2 linked regions of the Callithrix jacchus genome follow. Each later gene encodes a partner of the first gene's protein in a complex. Links are inferred from orthologs where the notes say so. Each region holds a gene or a part of one and is shown on either strand. Other genes may lie near its edges.

Region 1 (3,809 bases):
TGGTGTTCAGTAGCACAACTGACTCACAGGATTACTTGAAAACTTCCCTTTTTTTTGAATTCCTATCCCTTTCTCCTGTAAAGCCCTTCAAATTGTTTTCCTAGATATCTCTTCTAAATTATGAAGATGGTGTCTTAGATCCAAGCTCCATTATCCCTTTGATAGATGGAGGCACAGAAGGTTTTAAAGGAAACGCCAGGGTGATTCTGCCTGGAATGACTGCTTGTATCGAATGCACGCTGGAACTGTATCCACCGCAGGTAATCAAAAGAACACCTGTATTTCTTTTATAGTATCTTGGCATGGAATTAGGGATTAATTATTAAGTCTAGTCAGTATTTAGGGTTTTTAATTAGAGGTAGCCATATTTTAAAATTATGCTAAGAAGAAAGATAATAAAATAGGAAATTCTGTTCTATTTGAGGAAAGATATGAACCAAGTACATTGTTTTGATACTATTCTGTTTTCATACTTTATTTGTATTTTTTATTTGGGGAGTAGGTATCAAGTAGAATTACAAAGCTGTATGTTGATGTCACGCTATAATCTATGTGGTTTTCACCTGTATTTATTTCAGGGAAACACAGATACCAGGGATGAGAATGATCTTTCCAAGGAAGGAGCTTTTTTATTTATATACCCACTTTAAAGGACACTTGAAATTTTGAATAATAAATGTACACAATTTTATGAGTATTCACTTGGGATTCATTTAACTCTGAATTTGCTTTTGTTTTCGTTTGTTTTATACTTAAATATTAGGTAAACATAACAAGGTTCATATTTGAGAATCTGTTCTGCATTTTCTTCTCATAGTCTAACAAAGCTTAAATTTCATATACCTTGTAAATGTAGGGCAAACTTATCTTTATAGGCAGATCAACTTAAGTGAAGTGACTCAGATAATCTATATTAGTTTGAGAGGCATTTTTAATGGTATACAATGTTTTGAGTTGAAACGAATTATAGGAAACTGTTACGAACTAGATCATAACTGGAAGTTGCATTTTAAAATTACTAAATTTACTCATCATTTCAAATTTACTAAAAAGGACAAACTATGGCTTTAGGTTAATTTTCCCATGTGCACCATTGCATCTATGCCCAGGCTACCAGAGCACTGTATTGAGTATGTAAGGATGTTGCAGTGGCCTAAGGAGCAGCCTTTTGGAGGTAACAAATCTAATTTAATAATCTAGAATTACATAAAATACACATTATTTCTGTATTATTCCTTTGGATAATTTCATTAAAAACACTGTTTTGTGATTACATATTTCTGTCTTCTCTCCTCTCTCTCTTTTTTTTTTTTTTTTTAAACAGAAGGTGTTCCATTAGATGGAGATGATCCTGAACATATACAATGGATTTTCCAAAAATCCCTAGAGAGAGCATCACAATATAATATTAGGGGTGTTACATATAGACTCACTCAAGGTAAGTTAGTGAATTGTCTTGAATTATGATGTTGGGATGACTTAGGGCTGGGGATGCTTTTGGGAGAATAACTGATAAGTGAGTTTGGTATCATCCACCTGAAGTTCAGTATAGGTACCATGTAATTCATGCTACTTATCAGCTAGGGGGAATTTAATAAAATCACTGAATCTTATTTAGGCTGTCAGCCATCTATGTGAAACTGTCCACTTTATCTTCCACAGAATTCATCACCTCTTGGAGACAGTCTATTTCACATTTGGACAGGACTGTTAGACAAGTATTCTATAAATTGAACAGAAATCATCTTCAGGTTGGGCGCAGTGGCTCATATCTGTAATCCCAGCACTTTGGGAGGCTGAGGTGGGCGGATCACCTGAGGTCAGGAGTTTGAGACCAGTCTAACCAACATGGCGAAACCCTGTCTCCATTAAAAATACAAAATTAGCCGGGCATGGTGGCGCATGCCTGCAATCCCAGCTACTCGGGAAGCTGAGGCAGGAGAATCTCTTGAACCCTGGAGGTGGAGGTTGTAGTGAGCCAATGTTGTACCATTGCACTCCAACCTGGGCAACAAGAGCGAAACTCCATCTCAAAAAAAAGAAAAGAAATCGTCTTCAGTTTGGTCTGAGTATTGTCCAAATAGTATAGTATTATAAAATCTAATTTCCTTTTAAGTAATAGCCTTTAACACATTGAGGACAATGATCACATCCTTGGCAAATTTTTATCAGTGCCATAAACCTCCCTAGTTAGTTCCTTTAACCCTGTGTTAGTTCATTTTGCGTTGCTATAAAGGAATATCTGAGACTGGGTAATTTATTAAGAAAAGAGGTTTATTTTGCTCATGGTTCTGCAGGCTGTGTGAGTATGGCACCAGCATCTGCACAGCTTCTGGTGAGACCTCAGGAAGCTTTTACTCATGGTGAAAGCTAAGGGGAATAGCAAGACATGTCATATGACAAGAGAGGAAGCAGGAGAGAGAGGAGGGAGTACCAGGCTCCTTTCAACAACCAGCTCTTGCGTGAACTTAATATCACGGAGAGGGCACCAAGCCATGCATGTGGGATCTGCCCTAATGATCCAAACACTTCTCACTAGGCCCTACCTCCAACACTGGGTATCACATTTCAGTATGAGGTTTGGAGGGGACAAATATCCAAACTATATCAAACCCTAAGATACGTTGTACAGTTTCAGGTCCTCATGTTATTTTTTCTAACCGTATTCTAGCTATCCATACTGGTTAACTGGAATATAGTTAGAGAAAACAACTTCTAACTGTTTAGGTCAGCATGCAGCATTCTGGGACTGGTCTTATTTTAGGTAATAGACTTCTAATAATTGATGCAGTCTTAAAGGAGAGCAGGTATTTTTGTTGTTTATTTGTTGTTGACATTGATGCTATACTTTCCATTCTTTGATGTCACTAGCCACTAACAGCTGGATGTTTTGTCCACATAATGTAATTTAGCCACTAACAGCTGGATGTTTTGTCCACATAATGTAATTGCTAAGCAACATTTGCCTATTATAAACTTGATGGTGTCGGGGGAAGGTGTTCTTTTTTTTTTTTTTTTTAATATCCAAGTATATAGGTCCTTACAGATGTATTCTTGAAATTCAACTTGCTTTTCTCCCTTTATATGTATTCAATTCTGCCAACTTACCTGGTGTTTCTAGCTTTATTTCATCTGTTGTTTTGATAGTTATATCCTTTATTTTTTTTTCAAATAGTTGATCAAAATTTTTAACAAGACTGAACTGTCTGAGAACAGACATCTGAGTCATACCTCTAGCCAGGCTCTTTTAGGTTTATCTCATTCTGTTCAGCAGACCTTCTTGAGTACTTTGCATTTCTTTATCTTGTTCACAAGGATGTCATAAAAAACCTTTCCAGATCCTCTACTGAAGCCTAGGTGTACTATATTTTGCATTTTCCTGAGTTGATAAGCTAGTCATGGTAGCTAAATTAGGCTATTCCAACATGATTTGCCTAGTAACCAATTATGCTCAATCATAATGATCAGTATTTCTAATCTTGTTACAGTTTACCTTTTCTAGAATTTTGTCCAAGATCATTACCAAGTTAACCAGAATGAACTTTATCTTCTTTCTGAAAATCTGCCATTTCTCCCCTGTGATTATTTCCTTGTATTTATGATATTCTAGTAGCATCATTTTAAAATACTGTTATTCCAGTAGCCTTTTTTTAAAATTGCATTTATACTCACTCTTTGTTGCCCCCTGCATTCGCCCTACACTGACCTCCTTTGTGTTTCTGAATACACCAAATTTATTTGTACCTTAGAGCCTTAATACTCGCCTATACACCTGGAATGCTGTTCCTTGGATCGCCTCAGCCTGGCTC
Region 2 (4,506 bases), on another chromosome or scaffold:
TAAACCCCAGTCAAGGTCTCACTCTGGCTAGGTATCGGGCTAGCCTTGGCCCTGGACATTTCAAGGAACTAAGACTCAAGGCTTGTTGTCCAAGCTTCTTCCAGGGGTGCAGCCAGACTTTCCCCTGCTGCTTCTAGTCACCCCAACCCACAAGGCTGGAGGCGTGGCCTCAGGGAAAGCAGACAAGCCACCCTTGGCCAGAGACCACTCCTGGGCGAGGAGCTGCAGAATCAGAGGGGTGGCGCCTGGGCCCCTCCGCAGGCAAGTGCCACCACACCAAGCGCTCGCGAGCACGATGGTTTCCGTGGTGACGGCGGAAGTGGCTGACCCGCAGGGTTCTGTTTCCTCCCGCCCTCCCAGACACACTGAGCTGCGATTGGATGGGAAGCTGACTCCCGCCTATATCCCCTTTTTCAGATAGTGGGTTGAAAGCCGTGAGACCGCAGTGCGTCTCTGCTGGAATTGGGGGCCCACTCCCAGAGCTGCCCGGCTCCGCCCCCACATCGCGTTCCCCAAGTGTCCAGCCCGACAGGTCTTCCTCTACACCACCTTAACCCTCCAGAGTGCTTACCACCATCTGGCACAATACATGTTTTGTTAGTTTACCTCAATCAGAATCTCCAGGAACTGGGATCTTTGGGTTTGCGATGGGACAATGAAGGTGCTCGACCTCGCACCCTCTGGGTAACGCCTCTAGTCTCACTCAGAGTCTCGCCGCGATCACCCTGCCTTTGTCTGTGACCCATGGGGTCAAAGGCTCTGACCCACCCGCGCCGCGCTCTGCACAAGTACAACATAGGATGAAGTGACCGCGAGCGAAACACCCCACGTCTGCCCCACTCAAAGATGGCGGCTAACCACACTTCCTGCCCGACCCCGCTAGAGTCACCGGAAGTGACCCGCCGGGCAGCCGAAGCGTCAACTCCAAGAACGGAAATACCCGAATCCAGCCGAAGGAGGCCGAACCCCAAACTCCATCCCTGAGCAACGCGAGTTTGCCGCGGCTGCGCAGGCGCACAACGCAGGCCGGGCGGGAAGACCCAAAGCGGACAGGCGGCGGAAATATCCGAAGCGGCGGGGCGCCCGAGGCCGTTACCGACCTCCGCGCTAAAGCCGCTGCTGCCGCGGAAACCGATCCTTCAGTACTCAGCCCCCGTCACCGCGGCTGCCCCGTCCTCCTCCCACCCCGAGCCGCAGCTCCCTCGCGGACGGATCAGCTGAGCGGCCAAACGGCGCGGCCGGGGGAAACCAGAGTCCGCAGCTGCGGCGGGGCCTGAGACCAGAGCGGGCGAGGGCAAGGAAGGAGCAGCCGGGGGCGATAGGGGCGGGGCCGGGCGGCCCGAGAACACCCGAGTTTGGCCGAGCGCTGCCGTTCGAGCCCGAGACTCCAGGCCAGGCCAGAGCCGGACTACGGGAGCCGAGTCGGGCCGCGCGGTGGGCGCGGAGCAGAGCAGAGCGGCGCGGCAGGCCGGGCGGGTGGCGAGAGCCGCGGAGGCCGCAGCGGCGGGTCCGAGGAGCAGAGGCGACGCGGGCGGCGGCGGGAGGCCGGGTGGCCGGGGTCCCGGGCCCCGCGGCGGCGGCAGCGGCGGCGGCGGCGGCAGGATGATCAAGCTGTTCTCGCTGAAGCAGCAGAAGAAGGAGGAGGAGTCGGCAGGCGGCACCAAGGGCAGCAGCAAGAAGGCGTCGGCGGCGCAGCTGCGGATCCAGAAGGGTAGGGGGTCAGGGGATGGGGCTGGAGCCAGAGTCGGAGTTCAGGGCCTGAGGCTGGGTGATGTGGGCGTCAGGAGGGGATCATGCGATCGCCGAGGGTCAGAGGTGGAGGGCCCCTAGTGTAGCGGGTCGGAGGTCAGGTCTTGAGGGTTGGGGTCATGCAGTCACGGGGAGGGGGGTCAGAGATAGGGGCCCAGTGTGTGGTGGTTTAGGATATTAGGAAGGCCTGTGTCTGGTACGAGGGACCCGGAATCTCAGAGTCAGGCAGTGGAGTGGAGGAGCTGGGGACTCGAGAGTCTGGGGGTTAGACGGGAACTTGGGTTTGGGATGACAGGAGGAGAGAGGGATAGTAGAGGCCAGGGGCTGGGGATATGAATGGGAGAAGACTCCGTGTATCTCAAGAGTCAGACGGGTGGACTAGGTTGGAGGACCCGAAACTCATGGGCCTCAGAGTCACAGCAATTTGGGGTATGGGGTGACAGGTGGTGGAGAGAAGGTTAGTGACTACCAGGGATTGGAGACAGGGGTGAGAAGAAATTTAGCCTATTGTGCTGTGAACCTCGGAGTCAGAGGGAGTGGGCTAGGGTGATGAGGGTTTGGGGACTTGAGAGTGTGGGGGTCAGGTGGGAAGAAGGCCTTTTTCTCTCTCAGAGAAAAAGGACAGTGAGGACTGAAAATTGGTGAGGGTAGGCAGGACCCTTGACTTTGGGTGGACAGGTAGGAACATCTTGGATGGGGAGCCTGGGATTCAGGGTGGTCAGAGGATATTTGGAGCGGGAGCATTTGGGAGCTATGGATGCAGAAAATTGGGCGTTTACCCTGGGCCAGGAGTTGGGACACGCAGACTGAACATACCTGTTTGGGGTATGCCATATATCCACAAGAGCCAAACAGGAGAAGGGAGAGGGCTGGAGGTGTGGAGCACAGCCCAGGACAGAGGCTTGGGGGTCCAGGAGGAGGCCATAGGGGCTGTGCTGACAACACCTGCCCTAAGTGTCCTGCTGTCTCCCTCTTTGTCACTTTTTCCCCCTCCCTCTTTCTCCCTCCCCCTTTCTTTCCCCAACTCTCTGCTGCCCAAACCCAGACATAAACGAGCTGAACCTGCCCAAGACGTGTGATATCAGCTTCTCAGATCCAGACGACCTCCTCAACTTCAAGCTGGTCATCTGTCCTGATGAGGTGAGGGTGCATATGGCTGGATTCACAGAAGCAGATCAAGAGTGTCCCCACTGAGAGGACGGAGACATGTTCTGTCAGGCCCCACAGGATTGAACCCTAAAATCTTCTTCTCCCCCTTTCCCTCCCAGGGCTTCTACAAGAGTGGGAAGTTTGTGTTCAGTTTTAAGGTGAGTCCCAGGTGGGCAGGGATGGCTGCCTGGACTGAGGAGGCAGCAGCTGAGGCCCTTCCAGGCACCAATCCATCTCCCTTTTCTTTTCCTGGAACCAGGTGGGCCAGGGTTATCCGCATGATCCCCCCAAGGTGAAGTGTGAGACAATGGTCTATCATCCCAACATTGACCTCGAGGGCAACGTCTGCCTCAACATCCTCAGGTGAGGGCACTGGCCCTCTACTGCCTTCCCCAGCCCTGCCTGTCATACCCCCCTCATGGTCTTCTGGGCACTACATCAGTCTCTGTGCCTACCCACCCCTTTGTTGTCTGTGGTTTCTTCATTTCCCAGTCATCTTCCTCATGGCCTGACCTTGGTTTTCTCCCTGTCCTGGCCTGCTCCACACCCTCCCTCCCAGTCTCCCACATCCTCACTCTCCTATGCCCTGGATCTGACCTGTCCAATATCAGAGGGGCCTATGGCAATCTCCCACTCACCAAGCCCTGACCCTGATGCTCTCTGTCCACAGAGAGGACTGGAAGCCAGTCCTTACGGTAAACTCCATAATTTATGGCCTGCAGTATCTCTTCTTGGTGAGTAGGAATAGGTGGTTGGGTTTGGGGAGATCGGTCTTCTGTCTCTCTGGCCTGTTGACCCCACCTGTACTGGCCACAGGAGCCCAACCCCGAGGACCCACTGAACAAGGAGGCCGCAGAGGTCCTGCAGAACAACCGGCGGCTGTTTGAGCAGAACGTGCAGCGTTCCATGCGGGGTGGCTACATCGGCTCCACCTACTTCGAGCGCTGCCTGAAATAGGGTTGGCGCACACCCACCCCCGCCACGGCCACAAGCCGTGGCGTCCCCTGCAAATATTTATTGGGGGCCACCGGCAGGGGGTTGGGGGGCAGCCGGTGGGGGAATTCCCTGCCTTGGCCTTGCCTCCCCTTCCTGCTACCTGCCCCTAGTTTGTTTTTTTTTTTTAAACCACCATGTGATTAAGGTCGGTGTTGCCTCCCCCGACCCACTCAGCAATGGGAAATGAATTGGCTTGTCTAGCCCCCTGCTGGGTGTTTGTTCAGCCCCCACTCTGGGCTGTGGAGTGGGTGGGCAAGGGGCCTGGGTAGCTGGGCCCAGGCAACCCACCCCTCCACCTCTGGAGGTCCCACCAGGCTATTAAAGGGGAATGTTACTGCATGGCCTCTGCTTCTTACTTCTATGGGGTTGGAGGGGGCAGCTGCGGTCCACTAGGGTCTGCAAAGCTGGGGGGTGGTGGAACGTGTATTAACAGGTGGCATTGGAGCACCCTACAACAGAATGCCCAGTGCCTGGGCAGCTCTGGAGTTGGTGGGGTTACCAGGCCTGAGCCTGGGGTTGGTTGGGATGAAGCCCACTCTAGGATGAGAAGCGTAGTCAGGATCCAGTGGTCTCTGGCTTCCTGGCCAAGAGGCCGGCACAGTGGAAGGGCAA

What was found.
Region 2: the proteins of UBA3 (region 1) and UBE2M are in contact, whole or in part, in a crystal structure (PDB 2NVU), measured with the Homo sapiens proteins. The link is inferred for Callithrix jacchus from reciprocal best matches to the Homo sapiens genes UBA3 and UBE2M. Residues at the interface, in NP_003959.3 of Homo sapiens: His53, Pro54, Asp55, Glu61, Ser62, Phe65, Cys70, Gln149, Asn152, Asp153, Thr154, Arg157, Gln158, Phe159, His160, Ile170, Arg173, Trp174, Ser181, Leu182, Leu183, Asn184, Pro192, Ile195, Val196, Pro197, Leu214, Met217, Arg254, Met255; in NP_003960.1 of Homo sapiens: Lys3, Leu4, Phe5, Ser6, Leu7, Lys8, Gln9, Gln10, Lys11, Lys12, Glu15, Lys21, Gly22, Ser23, Ser24, Lys25, Lys26, Ala27, Gln31, Leu32, Gln35, Lys36, Ile38, Asn39, Glu40, Phe51, Ser52, Asp53, Pro54, Asp55.

Annotation. Positions count from the first base shown.
Region 1 is NC_133516.1:50,876,763-50,880,571, reverse strand, and holds part of UBA3 (NEDD8-activating enzyme E1 catalytic subunit), read left to right. Parts: intron 1-104; coding exon 105-260; intron 261-1,071; coding exon 1,072-1,174; intron 1,175-1,324; coding exon 1,325-1,438; intron 1,439-3,809. UniProt on the Homo sapiens protein: Catalytic subunit of the dimeric UBA3-NAE1 E1 enzyme. E1 activates NEDD8 by first adenylating its C-terminal glycine residue with ATP, thereafter linking this residue to the side chain of the catalytic cysteine, yielding a NEDD8-UBA3 thioester and free AMP.
Region 2 is NC_133523.1:51,191,529-51,196,034, reverse strand, and holds UBE2M (NEDD8-conjugating enzyme Ubc12), read left to right. Parts: upstream 1-1,399; 5' UTR 1,400-1,602; coding exon 1,603-1,711; intron 1,712-2,794; coding exon 2,795-2,889; intron 2,890-3,017; coding exon 3,018-3,056; intron 3,057-3,157; coding exon 3,158-3,261; intron 3,262-3,568; coding exon 3,569-3,632; intron 3,633-3,714; coding exon 3,715-3,855; 3' UTR 3,856-4,233; downstream 4,234-4,506.